3 linked regions of the Nothobranchius furzeri genome follow. The protein of the gene in region 2 purifies or fractionates together with the protein of the main gene of each other region. This does not show direct contact. Links are inferred from orthologs where the notes say so. Each region holds a gene or a part of one and is shown on either strand. Other genes may lie near its edges. The genes, in order: ift74, ift81 and ift88.

The links.
Region 1: the proteins of ift81 (region 2) and ift74 purify together in Homo sapiens (affinity purification with mass spectrometry; 3 studies listed by BioGRID and IntAct, counting the BioPlex papers as one, with this or other methods). This does not show direct contact. The link is inferred for Nothobranchius furzeri from reciprocal best matches to the Homo sapiens genes IFT81 and IFT74.
Region 3: the proteins of ift81 (region 2) and ift88 fractionate together in Homo sapiens (co-fractionation; 3 studies listed by BioGRID and IntAct, with this or other methods). This does not show direct contact. The link is inferred for Nothobranchius furzeri from reciprocal best matches to the Homo sapiens genes IFT81 and IFT88.

The regions. Positions count from the first base shown.
Region 1 is NC_091747.1:28,197,717-28,201,179, forward strand, and holds the end of ift74 (intraflagellar transport protein 74 homolog), read left to right. Parts: intron 1-1,331; coding exon 1,332-1,429; intron 1,430-1,620; coding exon 1,621-1,747; intron 1,748-1,854; coding exon 1,855-2,018; intron 2,019-2,093; coding exon 2,094-2,219; intron 2,220-2,302; coding exon 2,303-2,363; intron 2,364-2,537; coding exon 2,538-2,635; 3' UTR 2,636-2,956; downstream 2,957-3,463. UniProt on the Homo sapiens protein: Component of the intraflagellar transport (IFT) complex B: together with IFT81, forms a tubulin-binding module that specifically mediates transport of tubulin within the cilium. Binds beta-tubulin via its basic region. Required for ciliogenesis.
Region 2 is NC_091757.1:28,290,879-28,294,531, reverse strand, and holds part of ift81 (intraflagellar transport protein 81 homolog), read right to left. Parts: coding exon 3,634-3,653; intron 3,337-3,633; coding exon 3,252-3,336; intron 2,934-3,251; coding exon 2,770-2,933; intron 2,690-2,769; coding exon 2,597-2,689; intron 2,348-2,596; coding exon 2,201-2,347; intron 378-2,200; coding exon 228-377; intron 1-227. UniProt on the Homo sapiens protein: Component of the intraflagellar transport (IFT) complex B: together with IFT74, forms a tubulin-binding module that specifically mediates transport of tubulin within the cilium. Binds tubulin via its CH (calponin-homology)-like region.
Region 3 is NC_091742.1:29,234,447-29,238,099, reverse strand, and holds part of ift88 (intraflagellar transport protein 88 homolog), read right to left. Parts: intron 3,480-3,653; coding exon 3,427-3,479; intron 3,338-3,426; coding exon 3,272-3,337; intron 991-3,271; coding exon 884-990; intron 1-883. UniProt on the Homo sapiens protein: Positively regulates primary cilium biogenesis. Also involved in autophagy since it is required for trafficking of ATG16L and the expansion of the autophagic compartment.

The sequences.
Region 1 (3,463 bases), on a different chromosome or scaffold from region 2:
ACCATCAAGGTCCTTCAGATGTCTTTTAGCCAAAATGGCTTTCGTGTGTTTTGCACTGAGTAGAGGCTTCCGACGGAACACTCTGCCATAAAGCCCTGACTTTCATCCGTCTCCTGACTGCATCTCTGGGGCTCAGCCTGGTGTTCTTTGGGTTATTTTTACCTCTCTCACCAAGGCTCTTCTTCCCCAGTAACTCAGTTTGGCCGGACAGCCTGCTCTAGGAAGGGATCTGGTCATCTCAAACGTCTTTCCTTTAAGGATTATGGAGGCCACTGTGCTCTTAGGACACTTGAGTGCAACAGAGATTTTTTTTTTGTAACCTTGGCCACATCTGTGTCTTGCTACAAGTGAAATTGGTCGTATATATTGTATTGTGTTGCTTTCTTAATCAAGTCCAATCAGTATAATCAAACACAACTGGGCTCCAATGAAGGGACTATCTCAAGGATGATCAGAAGAAATGGAAACCACCTGAATCACCCAAAGTATAGACGCAACACTTTAGTTTTTGCTCCCATTTTTCATGAGCTGAACTCAAACATCTATAAAAATTTTTCTACATCCACAAAAGACCCATGACTCTTAAATATTGTTCTGAAATCTGTTTACTTGTGTCTTAGAGAGCACTTTTCCTTTACCAACATAATACATCCCACCTCACAGGTGTGGCATACCAAGGGGCTGATTAGACAGCATGAATAATGTACACAGGCCCTGTCCACACGTAGCCAGGGATCTGCCAAAACGTAGATATTTTTCTACGTTTTGGCCTGTCATCCACACGAAAACTGAGTTTTTTCACACGAAAACGGATCTTTTTTAAAACTCCGGCCAAAGTGAAGATCTGCGTTTTCTCCGTTTTGGGTGTCTGCGTGTGGACGGACAAACCCGGAGTTTTAAGGTCCGCAACGTCACTTTCCGCGACAAAAAAAATGCTGACATCACGTGTGCGACCTGTGTTTACACTAGCCGACAACATGGATGCCCTCAGAGCTGCGCTCGCTTTATCAATTGTCCAAGCGCTTTTTGCTTGTTTGTTTTTGCAAGCGGAATTACTGCTGCTTGCGGAAGACCACAGACGAAGGAAGAGGTTAAGAACGGGGGAAGTACTGCCACCTACAGGTCTGGCATGTCCTTAACAACGTATTTATCCGGGTACGTGTGGACAGAGTTTTGTTTTAAAACGAGGTGGTGTGGATGCAAGTTTTTGGAGGGGTGGATATTCGTTTTTAAAAAACCTGGCTACGTGTGGACTAGGCCTTAGACTGCCCATAAAATGCCCGAGAGTGCTCCTGTGTGCCCATGGAATTGAGTTGTTCCTCCTGTCTTAGAATTACTGGATTCTTACAAGCAGTTGGAGGCTGATGAGCTGGAGAAGCTGACCCAGAGTCAAGAGAACATCGTCTCAGTCCTGGAGCTCTGTAGCAGGGTGAGGTTTGGTTTGGTTTGGGTGGGGTGGAGGAGGGGAGGGATATAAAGAAGTGTGTGTGTATGTGTGTGTGTGTGTGTGTGTGTGTGTGTGTGTGTGTGTGTGTGTGTGTGTGTGTGTGTGTGTGTGTGTGTGTGTGTGTGTGTGTGTGTGTGTGTGTGTGTGTGTGTGTGTGTGTGTGTGTGTTATAGAACATGCTGCGGCTACGTCAGGTGGATACAATGACTGCTAGTGAGCTGAGGAACATGCAGGAGGTACTGTTCAACAAGGAGACCGAGGTAGTCCAGTCAGAGAGCACTGCCAAAGGACTCACAATAGGTCTGACACACACGTAATATCATAAAATGTTAGCCTCCAAATGTAGGCCGAGCGTAGCAGAAGCAGAATGATGCCAGGCTAATTTGACTTTGTTCTCCACCGCCCAGAGTCGCTGCGTCTGCACCAGGACCTGGAGAAGGTCCAGCAGCTGGAGGCGAAGATCAAAAGTGAGCTCAGCACCTTAAAGGAGCAGCTCAGCAACATGAAGTCTGAGCTGGACACCTTCAGAGACCTGAATACTCTGAGACACACAGCCGAGGAAAAGAGAAAGGTATCGACACCTGTGTTGCTGACACAAACACGTTTTATTTTATCTGCTCACTGACTCAAGTCGTCTTTGGGACAGAGACTACTGGAGAGCCAGACATCTCTGGCGCAGCGTCGAGATTCATTCATGCAGCTGCTGGAGGAGATGAACCAGAAATATGAAGCTCAGAAGACCAAACTTCAAGAAAATGAGACTCATACTCAGGTTGGAGCCATCTAATTCCAAATTCCCAAATGTCAAAGTTAGAGAACAGAACCACCATGGATGTTTGTGTGTTTGTGTTTTAGCTGGCAAACCTGGAAAGGAAATGGCAGCATTTGGAGCAGAACAATTATGTCATGAAAGAGTGTATCCTTCAGAATCCACAATTCTACTTAGATGTTTTACTTGCAGTGCACATTCTTGTGTGAGAGAGGGAACCCTTTTCCAGTTTCAGAGCTTTAGGGATGTTGTTAGTAAATCTGAGTGAAGACTGGGGCAAATGAAAGCAGAACGCGGTGAATTCCTTTACTGCTGCATCAGTCATTGCATCCAAGACTCAGCAGTGTGAGTACGCCTCCATTACCAACAACGTCTACCAGCTGGTGGCAGAGTACAACAAGAGCCTGATGGATGCCTAGACTCATACCAATACCTGCCTAAGAATTTGTTTTCCTCTAAAATCACAACTTTGAGTTAACCCATAAACATTTGAGCATTTTTGTGCTACTGGAGAACACCTAAATCATTCTAAGGATGAGAGTCTGGCTGTTAAAGTAGACGACCTTTAGGGTAACTGTGAAGTTGGGACAGGATTTTCTTTTCCAGATGGTCTTTAACGAGCTCTTTGCTTCATCTCAGATCGGTTCTGGGTGTTTGCTTTACTGGATGCTGGTCCAGAGCAATCCAGCAGATCTCGTATGATGCTCCTGAACACCATTAAAACCTTCTGATTCTTCACATTTTTGAATGGTGTCAGAGTGGTTTATATTCATCTGATAACTTGTTAAATGACATCCAACAACCGTCCAGATTATTTAATAAACCAGACATCACACCTTTCTGAGTCGCGTAGAAAACTCTTGAACACACCAGGTCATGTTTCATCAGAGTTCATTCATTGTCTCATTTAACATCACTGTGTCATCATTCATAATCATTAGCCTTTCATCATCATTGATATAGTCACAAATAGATTTTTATTAAATATATATTTGTCTCTGAGTCTAATTATTATAAAGTGTTGTCTCCCTGGATTCACCAAAGTATCTAATGTTAAAGGTTCAGTAATATTGATAATCCATATTTTTATGGAATATTATGTTTTATTGAATTCTATTGACAATTTTAGTAACCACCTACAAAGCATTATAAAATTATTATTGTTTTGGTCTCATAAAATTATTTATTTCAATCTACAGGTTGTTTGCTGTGTTCTCTACAATGAATGTTCTATCTAAAGTGGTTTA
Region 2 (3,653 bases):
CTTTTCCCACCAAGCTCCTCTCACTTTGCTGGTAAAGCTGAGAAAACGACGCAGTTGGAAAAGCAGTTTGAGAGAGAGAGAGAGGCGTTGCTCTGCCTCTGGATCTAAATGAATGAATCCAAAAACCACAGACCCGACCTTCCTTCCTCCTTTCGCTGAATGCCTTTTTTATTTTTTAAGTTGACCAGTTTTGTGTGAAGTCTCAGACGACAAGTGAGACGAGTTACCAGCTTCTCTTGGACAGCCTCGTGTCTCTTCTTGAGAACCTCCTCAGTCCGCTGCAGGACTCCGTACTCTGCTTTCAGCTCGGCCATCTCCTGGTGTTTTTTCGTGTACAAGGTTTTCTTGCTGCGTAACTTGGCTGCCAAATGTTTCAGCTACAAAATAATAATAAAGAAAAGAAACTTAAACAAACACAGCTGCATCAGCAGAAAACACCATTAACCAGCTCTGCAGGTTTATTATATTCATGGAAGCAGCTTTAGCCGTGAGAGCTGAACGGTTACAGCCTGTTTGGAAAATTCTGTGAACAGTACAGAGTCTAAATGTGACTGCTTGGTGTCCAGCACAGCTGAGCTTCTCTGAAAGGCCCTGGAAGAAGACAATGGACTGGGGGGGGGGACATCAGAGGGGCCTGGGGGGTCATGGCACGATCACTCTATCCTTTTAAGTTTCACAGTCAGTAATGACGAGTGAGCAGCTTGATCAGTCCCACCGTGAGGTCTGCCGGGACACGCTGAAGCTCCTCCACAACGGGAGTGGCTATAAATGAGCACGGACACGGGAGGACGGCCCCAGAAAGCACAGAATGTGCTCCGTGTCCTGTGGGGATCCACCAAGTCTGCTGTGTGTGTGCACATTTATTCTTTGTGTATTTTGGGACATCAAGGGCAGACGTGGTGGGGAGAGGAATTAACAAGTGCAGTAACACTGCATTGTGTTCCTGACAGCGTGTCCCTGAAACAACTGCCGTGGGACGGGGCCGCCGCTCAGTTGTTGGTCGTAAAACAGAATCCACACGTTTACCGTCAGACGGACCTCGCTTCACCACAAAAATAATCCTCCGATTTCAGCGTCTTGACTAAAACCAGGTGCTGAGGCAGGGTGATGAAAGGGGTGTGATGTGGGGCCAGCCGCAGATGAACAGACGTAGTCACGCCCCCCCAGCAGCTGGTTGGTGGCGTGTGATGACACACAGCCGTCAGAATGGAAAATACCTCTGATAAAGCGATCACCTCCACCGTGGCTGATGGGCCAAGACTACACAGGAGTCGAACAGAACATTTTCCACCAACATCGTTCATGTGAGGTCTCAAGGGCCTCTTTGTCTCTACAAACAACACCCACTCAGCAGCCTTAAAGGGTCTGAACCTCCTTTTTACAAACTCTGACACATGAACACACACCAGCAGATTACTGCAAGCTCTTAACACACAAAACTGTATTTTCAGCTTCTGTCACATTGATTTTCCTTCCTTCTGTTTTTCCTCAAGAGACTAAACGTGTTAGAAATATCTTTTCACTAATATTTGACGGTTTCTTTAGTTCGCCAGCTGGAATTGTTTGTTTGGGCAAAGGTCTGCTCCTCTTTAGTGTTGTGTGCTAACATCGCAGGCATCTCTTCTCTCGTGTGCTTCAGCGTGTTCCAGAAAGCACGGCTCTGAGCCCACAGATACACGAATGCGTCAAACGTATAACAGCTGTGATTCGCAGGGTTCGTGTGGTGACAGCACCACCCCCGTTCATCAGAGTTCCTTCACTAACACGGATTTTTTTTACGGTCAGCTCTTCTACTGTGAGCCAACAAACTGCTAAGCCTCGTCTCCGTCGTGTCCCAGAAGGACGAGCACATCCTCGTTTAAAGTTCCTGTCCTCCAGGTCTGCTTAAAATGTCCCGCTGAGTCCAATTAGAAGATTTATTGGAGTGAAGATGAAGGAAAAGGCAGGAAGTTTGTCCAGAGCAGTTCCTTGTTCTGGACTGTTTCTCTTTGTGATCTATTTCTGGCCTACATGAGAAGGTGGGTGGGTGGGTGGGTGGGTGGGTGGGGGGTAAAGTTGGACAGTGAGACGGTCTGCGTTTGGATAAGAACAGAAATAACCCGTGGGGTTTTCGGTGCTTTACTAATCTTCTAGGATGAAGTTAAAGTTTGTGGGAGACGCTTTTAGGGGTATGAACGTGACGACCGACAGAGCCGTTCACCTCGTCTTCGCGGATGACCTCCTCCCCAGAGGAGCCTTGAGCCTGGCCGCTTCTACGCTTCAGCTCCCTCTCTGCAGCGGCGAGCACCTCCCTGGCCTCCTGCAGCTCCTTTGCCTTTGACTCTTTCTTTCGAGTGATAATCAGCGCCTACAGAACAAGTGAACACAAACACCAGAGACAATTTTACAGAGCAACTAATGTTTCAGCCTTAAGAAACTTTAGTTTTGAAAAAGGTAAGAAAGACTGGAACAAATGTTAGAAGGATGTGATGTTTTTAACTGTGCAGCTGAAACGACAGAGGATGAATATATTTGAGTATTTCTAAACAGATCTGAGGTATCAGCAGTTTTAGGAGGATCAGGTATGATGAAACGATCACATGACAGCAGTCAGAACCTGCTGCTTGAAGGGAACCAGTTGATCTATGGGGTCGTTCTTCATCATCTTCTTCTCAATCAGCTGGTTTATCTGAGTGTTCACTTCTTTGATCTGTAGGAGTGGACATTAAAGCACAATCAGAACCAAGGGCACAGGAAGAGTAACCCATGAACCCAGATGCAGGTCTGGACCTTGTCTTCTAGCTCCTGGATATCAGCTTGGTCCATTGCAGGCTCTGAAGCCACTTTCTGGAGGTACTGCACCGTGCGCCTCATGCCCTCCAGCTCTTTGGGGAGTTTCTCAGACACCATGTAGGAGTTGATCTGGATCTCCTCTTCAAGTCTCTTCATTAGGCCTGAAAGACACAAACCTTCTCAACAACAGATTTTCTCTGATTACTCTGGAGACTAACTGAAGTATTCATTAATGTGCCAGGCTACTAAAAACATAATAGACTAAATCTCTAGTATCTTGTGAAACTTGAAGGAATGTTCGGTTTCTGGAACCGCACACGCAGCACTTGTACTAAATGACAGGCGTTAACGTGCAGGCCCGTTTCAATGGGAACAGACCAGTTCAACATCAGAAATGGTCTGTAAAATAATCAAAATGTCCTTCAGCCTAGGCCGTGGTTTTGAACCTCCCACTCAGCTGCGGTCTGCAGAAGACTCACTCTCTGGGTTGGTGTTAGCTGCTGCCTGTCGCATGTCCTTCAGCTGCTGCTGCGACCTCACCAGTCTCTGCTCCACCTGGAAAAGCTGAACACACAAAAACAATTACTAGAAAACTTAGCTCGTCATTATTTAGATCTTGCCTCCAGTTTGCTAGATTAATAGGTCCACATTTAAGTCTAGAAGATGAGAGAGTGTGTGTGTGTGTGTGTGTGTGTGCGTGTGTGTGTGTGTGTGTGTGTGTGTGTGTGTGTGTGTGTGTGTGTGTGCGTGTGTGTGTGTGTGTGTGTCAATCTGGAGCAGTTTGTTTCTGCATGAAGACACCATAAATTCTAATGTAAGGATTGTTTTTTCTTTGCAGACTAAGCCATCAAAAGCACATACTTGACGCTTTTGTTCTTGCT
Region 3 (3,653 bases), on a different chromosome or scaffold from region 2:
TACCTCACGCCTCGACTACTGGTGTCAGTAAGGGCACCGTAGCTGGACTGCAGCTTGTCCAAAATGCTGCACCAAGACTCTTGGACGGCAAAAGAAAGCATGAACACGTGACACCAACCCTGGCTACTCTCCATTGGTTACCTGTAGGTTTTAGAATTTCTTTTAATCTTGTCTAAGGCTCTGAACGGATCGGCTCCAGCTTGTTACAGACATTTGCTCCGGCTCAAACACTCCGTTGTGAGAACAGCTGCTGCTTGTGGCTCCCACGGCTCGGCTGAAGTCAAGAGGTGATGGGCGTTCTCCGTTGCTGGCCCAAAACAGTAGAACGCACTGCCCCCAACTGTTAGGATCTCTCCATCAGCAGCAGTTTTTAAAACAAGGCTGAAAACCAACTTCTACGATCTGGCTTTGACTTGGGTGGGCTAGCTGTTGTGGATGTTTGACATGTTCTTATCTTGTAAGTTGAACTCGTTGGTTTTAATCGTGTCTGCTGAATTAGTATGTTTTATTCTTTTGCTGTACAGCACCTTGGTGGCACGCTTGTGCCGGTGAGGTGCTTTTTAAATAAAGGCTGAGTTGATTCACTGCATGAAAAGTGCTTGTTGAATAAAGTTGGATTTCATTTGATTTAAAGGTCAGACAATAATCAACACGTATCATATCACGCAACAGTCAAAAATACTTTTTGGGTTAATCCTCATGTAAGTCATCTTCTTTACGGTGAATGAATGAGTGTTTGCCCAAGCCGCTTGTCTTCCTCATTAAGAAACAGTGAGCAGGCACAGCTCTGCTGTCAGTTGTTTAAATCAACAACATTTCTAGATGACATTTTGCCACAAGGCTGTAAAAACAAGCAATCTAGCTGTAGAATTTGAACGTCCACCTGTTCTCGGATCTCCTTCATCTTCTCTGCCTTCTTCAGCTTAGTGGCATATTCCTGGACCTCCTTTAGACCCATGTCTGTGGACAGCCTCACCAGGAAACACAGACCTAAAAACACACAGGCTTACTCAGATTCATGGATACAAGTAACTGGTAGCTGCTGGTCACTAGTCCGAAATAAAGGTGCAGTGTGAGATGGTGAATGGAGATGCGTTTCTGGAGCATTTTGGTTTTGCCGTATAGGGGGTCCAGCGACATGAGCAGTGATACTTTTCCTTTGCATTCAGACTAAAACATCAACTTAGGTTTGGTCTGACCAGAGCACTTTATTCTACGTTTGCTGATCCCTACATACCAGACGTTTTAGGTCTTCCTACCAACAAAGGCATTCTTCTTACCATTCTTCTACATGGGCCATATTTATGGAGGAAACAACCTAGTTGTCTTGTGGACAGACTGTCCCGCCTGAGCTGTGGATTTCTGCAGCTCCTCCAGTAGGGCTGACTGGTTAGCGTGCGTGACTTTCACCCGGGAGTCTGGGGATCGAATCCTGATCGGATCTTTTTTTTTATATCCGCCACAGATCTCTCTGAAGAACTCAGCATTGACGGCTTCAGCAACGCTGTGCCACTCCGTGGATTTTCCCTTATTGTTTTGCAAAAGCACTTCCTTTCATTTCTCCACCTCACCCACAGGTACCTCAACTTCTGCTTCGGTGAAATAGCGCTTCCTTGATCTGCCTTGATCTACGGTCGTGATCGAAATGCTGCAACAAGCCGGCTTATGTATATGCATGAGGTCCACAAGGCACTTTGCATTGACTATTTATGGCAGTAAGTGGGCGTGGCGAGGGCGGGATGTGACGAAAAAGCAGCTGAGAACCTTTCTAGGTAGTTTCTGATTTATGAAGCGGAGATTGCGTGCAGCTGTGCGTACTCCATGTTTGATAGATCACACACCTGCTTGGTGTAAGTACTTTTTGTTTTTTGCTGAGTTTAAGTACGGTTTTAGTAAGGATTCTACGCCATGTTTGATAAATGAGACCCCCTGGTTCTGGTCTATAGGGCCTTACATGGACAAGCACCATCTTACATTGGTGATCTTCTTAGTCCCTACACCCCCAGCAGGTCCCTGAGGTCCAGTGATCGAAGCCTACTGGTTGTGCAGCACCAGGCTAAAGGTCAAAGGTGACAGATCATCTGCTGCTGTGGCCCCCAGACTCTGGACCTCTCTCCCCCTGAGCCTGAGATCAGTGGACTCAGTGGTCTCCTTTAAAAAGCAGCTGAAGACTCACTTGTTCAAGCTGGCTTTTGTATGACCTTCTTCACCTCTCTCTCTTTATTCTGCTCTCCCCACCTATTCCACCTTCCTCAGGATCCACTGGTTTCCCTCTTTCCTGTTCACTCTCTCGCTTTCTTAACTTTTTTAATCACAATTGTCTATTTTTGCCCATTTTAAATATATTTAAATCATTTTCTAAATTATTTTTTATATCTGACATTTTTGTTTTTGTGACGCGCCTTCTGGTTTTTATCTTATGTTTGTGTATTTAGCAGACGCTTTTGTCCAAAGCGACTCACAAGTGATCTTGAAAAACGATCTTTTCTTCGTCTTCTTTAAAACCTTTAAGTTTGTGGTTGTAAGGTGTCAAAATGTGTAAAAGTTAAAGGGCTATGACTTCTCTGTGAACAAATCACACAATCTTGGCTCAGAGCAGTTAAACAGCAAGCAAAACCAAAGCAAGGCCCTCTGATGGAACACAACTCTGCTTGTGTTTGCAAATTTTATGTAAGAAGTTGCTTAACATGTTCTGTTCAGTGGGAGGAGGTCCGGTTCGGGGTAGGCTCCGAAGGTTTGCTGTATGTGAACGGCGTCTGTTCACTGTCGGCTGTGGCACGAGTGTGTGTGTGTGTGAGTGTGTGTGTGTGTGTGAGTGTGTGTGTGTGTGTGTGTGTGTGAGTGTGTGTGTGTGTGCGTGTGTGTTTGTATCACAAAGAAAAGAACGGTGTCTGTTGAGGTTCTGGAAGGTTGTTGGTGACAGTGAGTGTGATGATTCTGAAGACAGGAATAAACCAGAAAACCTGAAAGCTTCGTTCTTCATCAATTTAGTACGCTAGCTAATAACATATTAGCTAGCGTACTAAATTGTTTTATGGTTACTTAGGAGTGTTACGTTTGGAAATATAGCAGAAAAGTAACAAACAACGTGTAAATTGGTCAAAAGCATAAGACAACACTATATTTTATGGTCCACAGTATCTGTTGTGTGGTGTTATAACGTTTTCTGTGACATCTGTTGCTTGAAAAAGGGGACTGAACCTTTCAATTGTATTTTTCTAAATGCAGTTTGCCTGAACGTCTTTTTTCAAGAACATCAAAGATACATTACAATCCACATTTTCTGGAAACTTGCGATGGATCTCTTTGTAGGTTTCTAGAGCTTTCTGGTAGTTTCCTGCAACAAAATAAAGAGGGCAAGAACTTTACCGACTTATGACACTTCACATTGTAAATGAGCTAACAGGAAACAAGATTCATGCTCACCGCTCTTTCTGTAACAGCTCGCTTCCATTAGCTGCCATTTCACCTGGGTGGGTCTAAAAGACATGGAGAGAAGAGACAGTCAACCATAACATTAAAACCGCTTTACACAACCACACCTGCTTCATTTGGACCTGACAGCAAAGTCAATATTTTAAACAGTTTTTTATAACCCTAAAACTGTCCAGAGAACAATGATGTAGACTTTTTGGTTGGGCATGGGTTGTGAT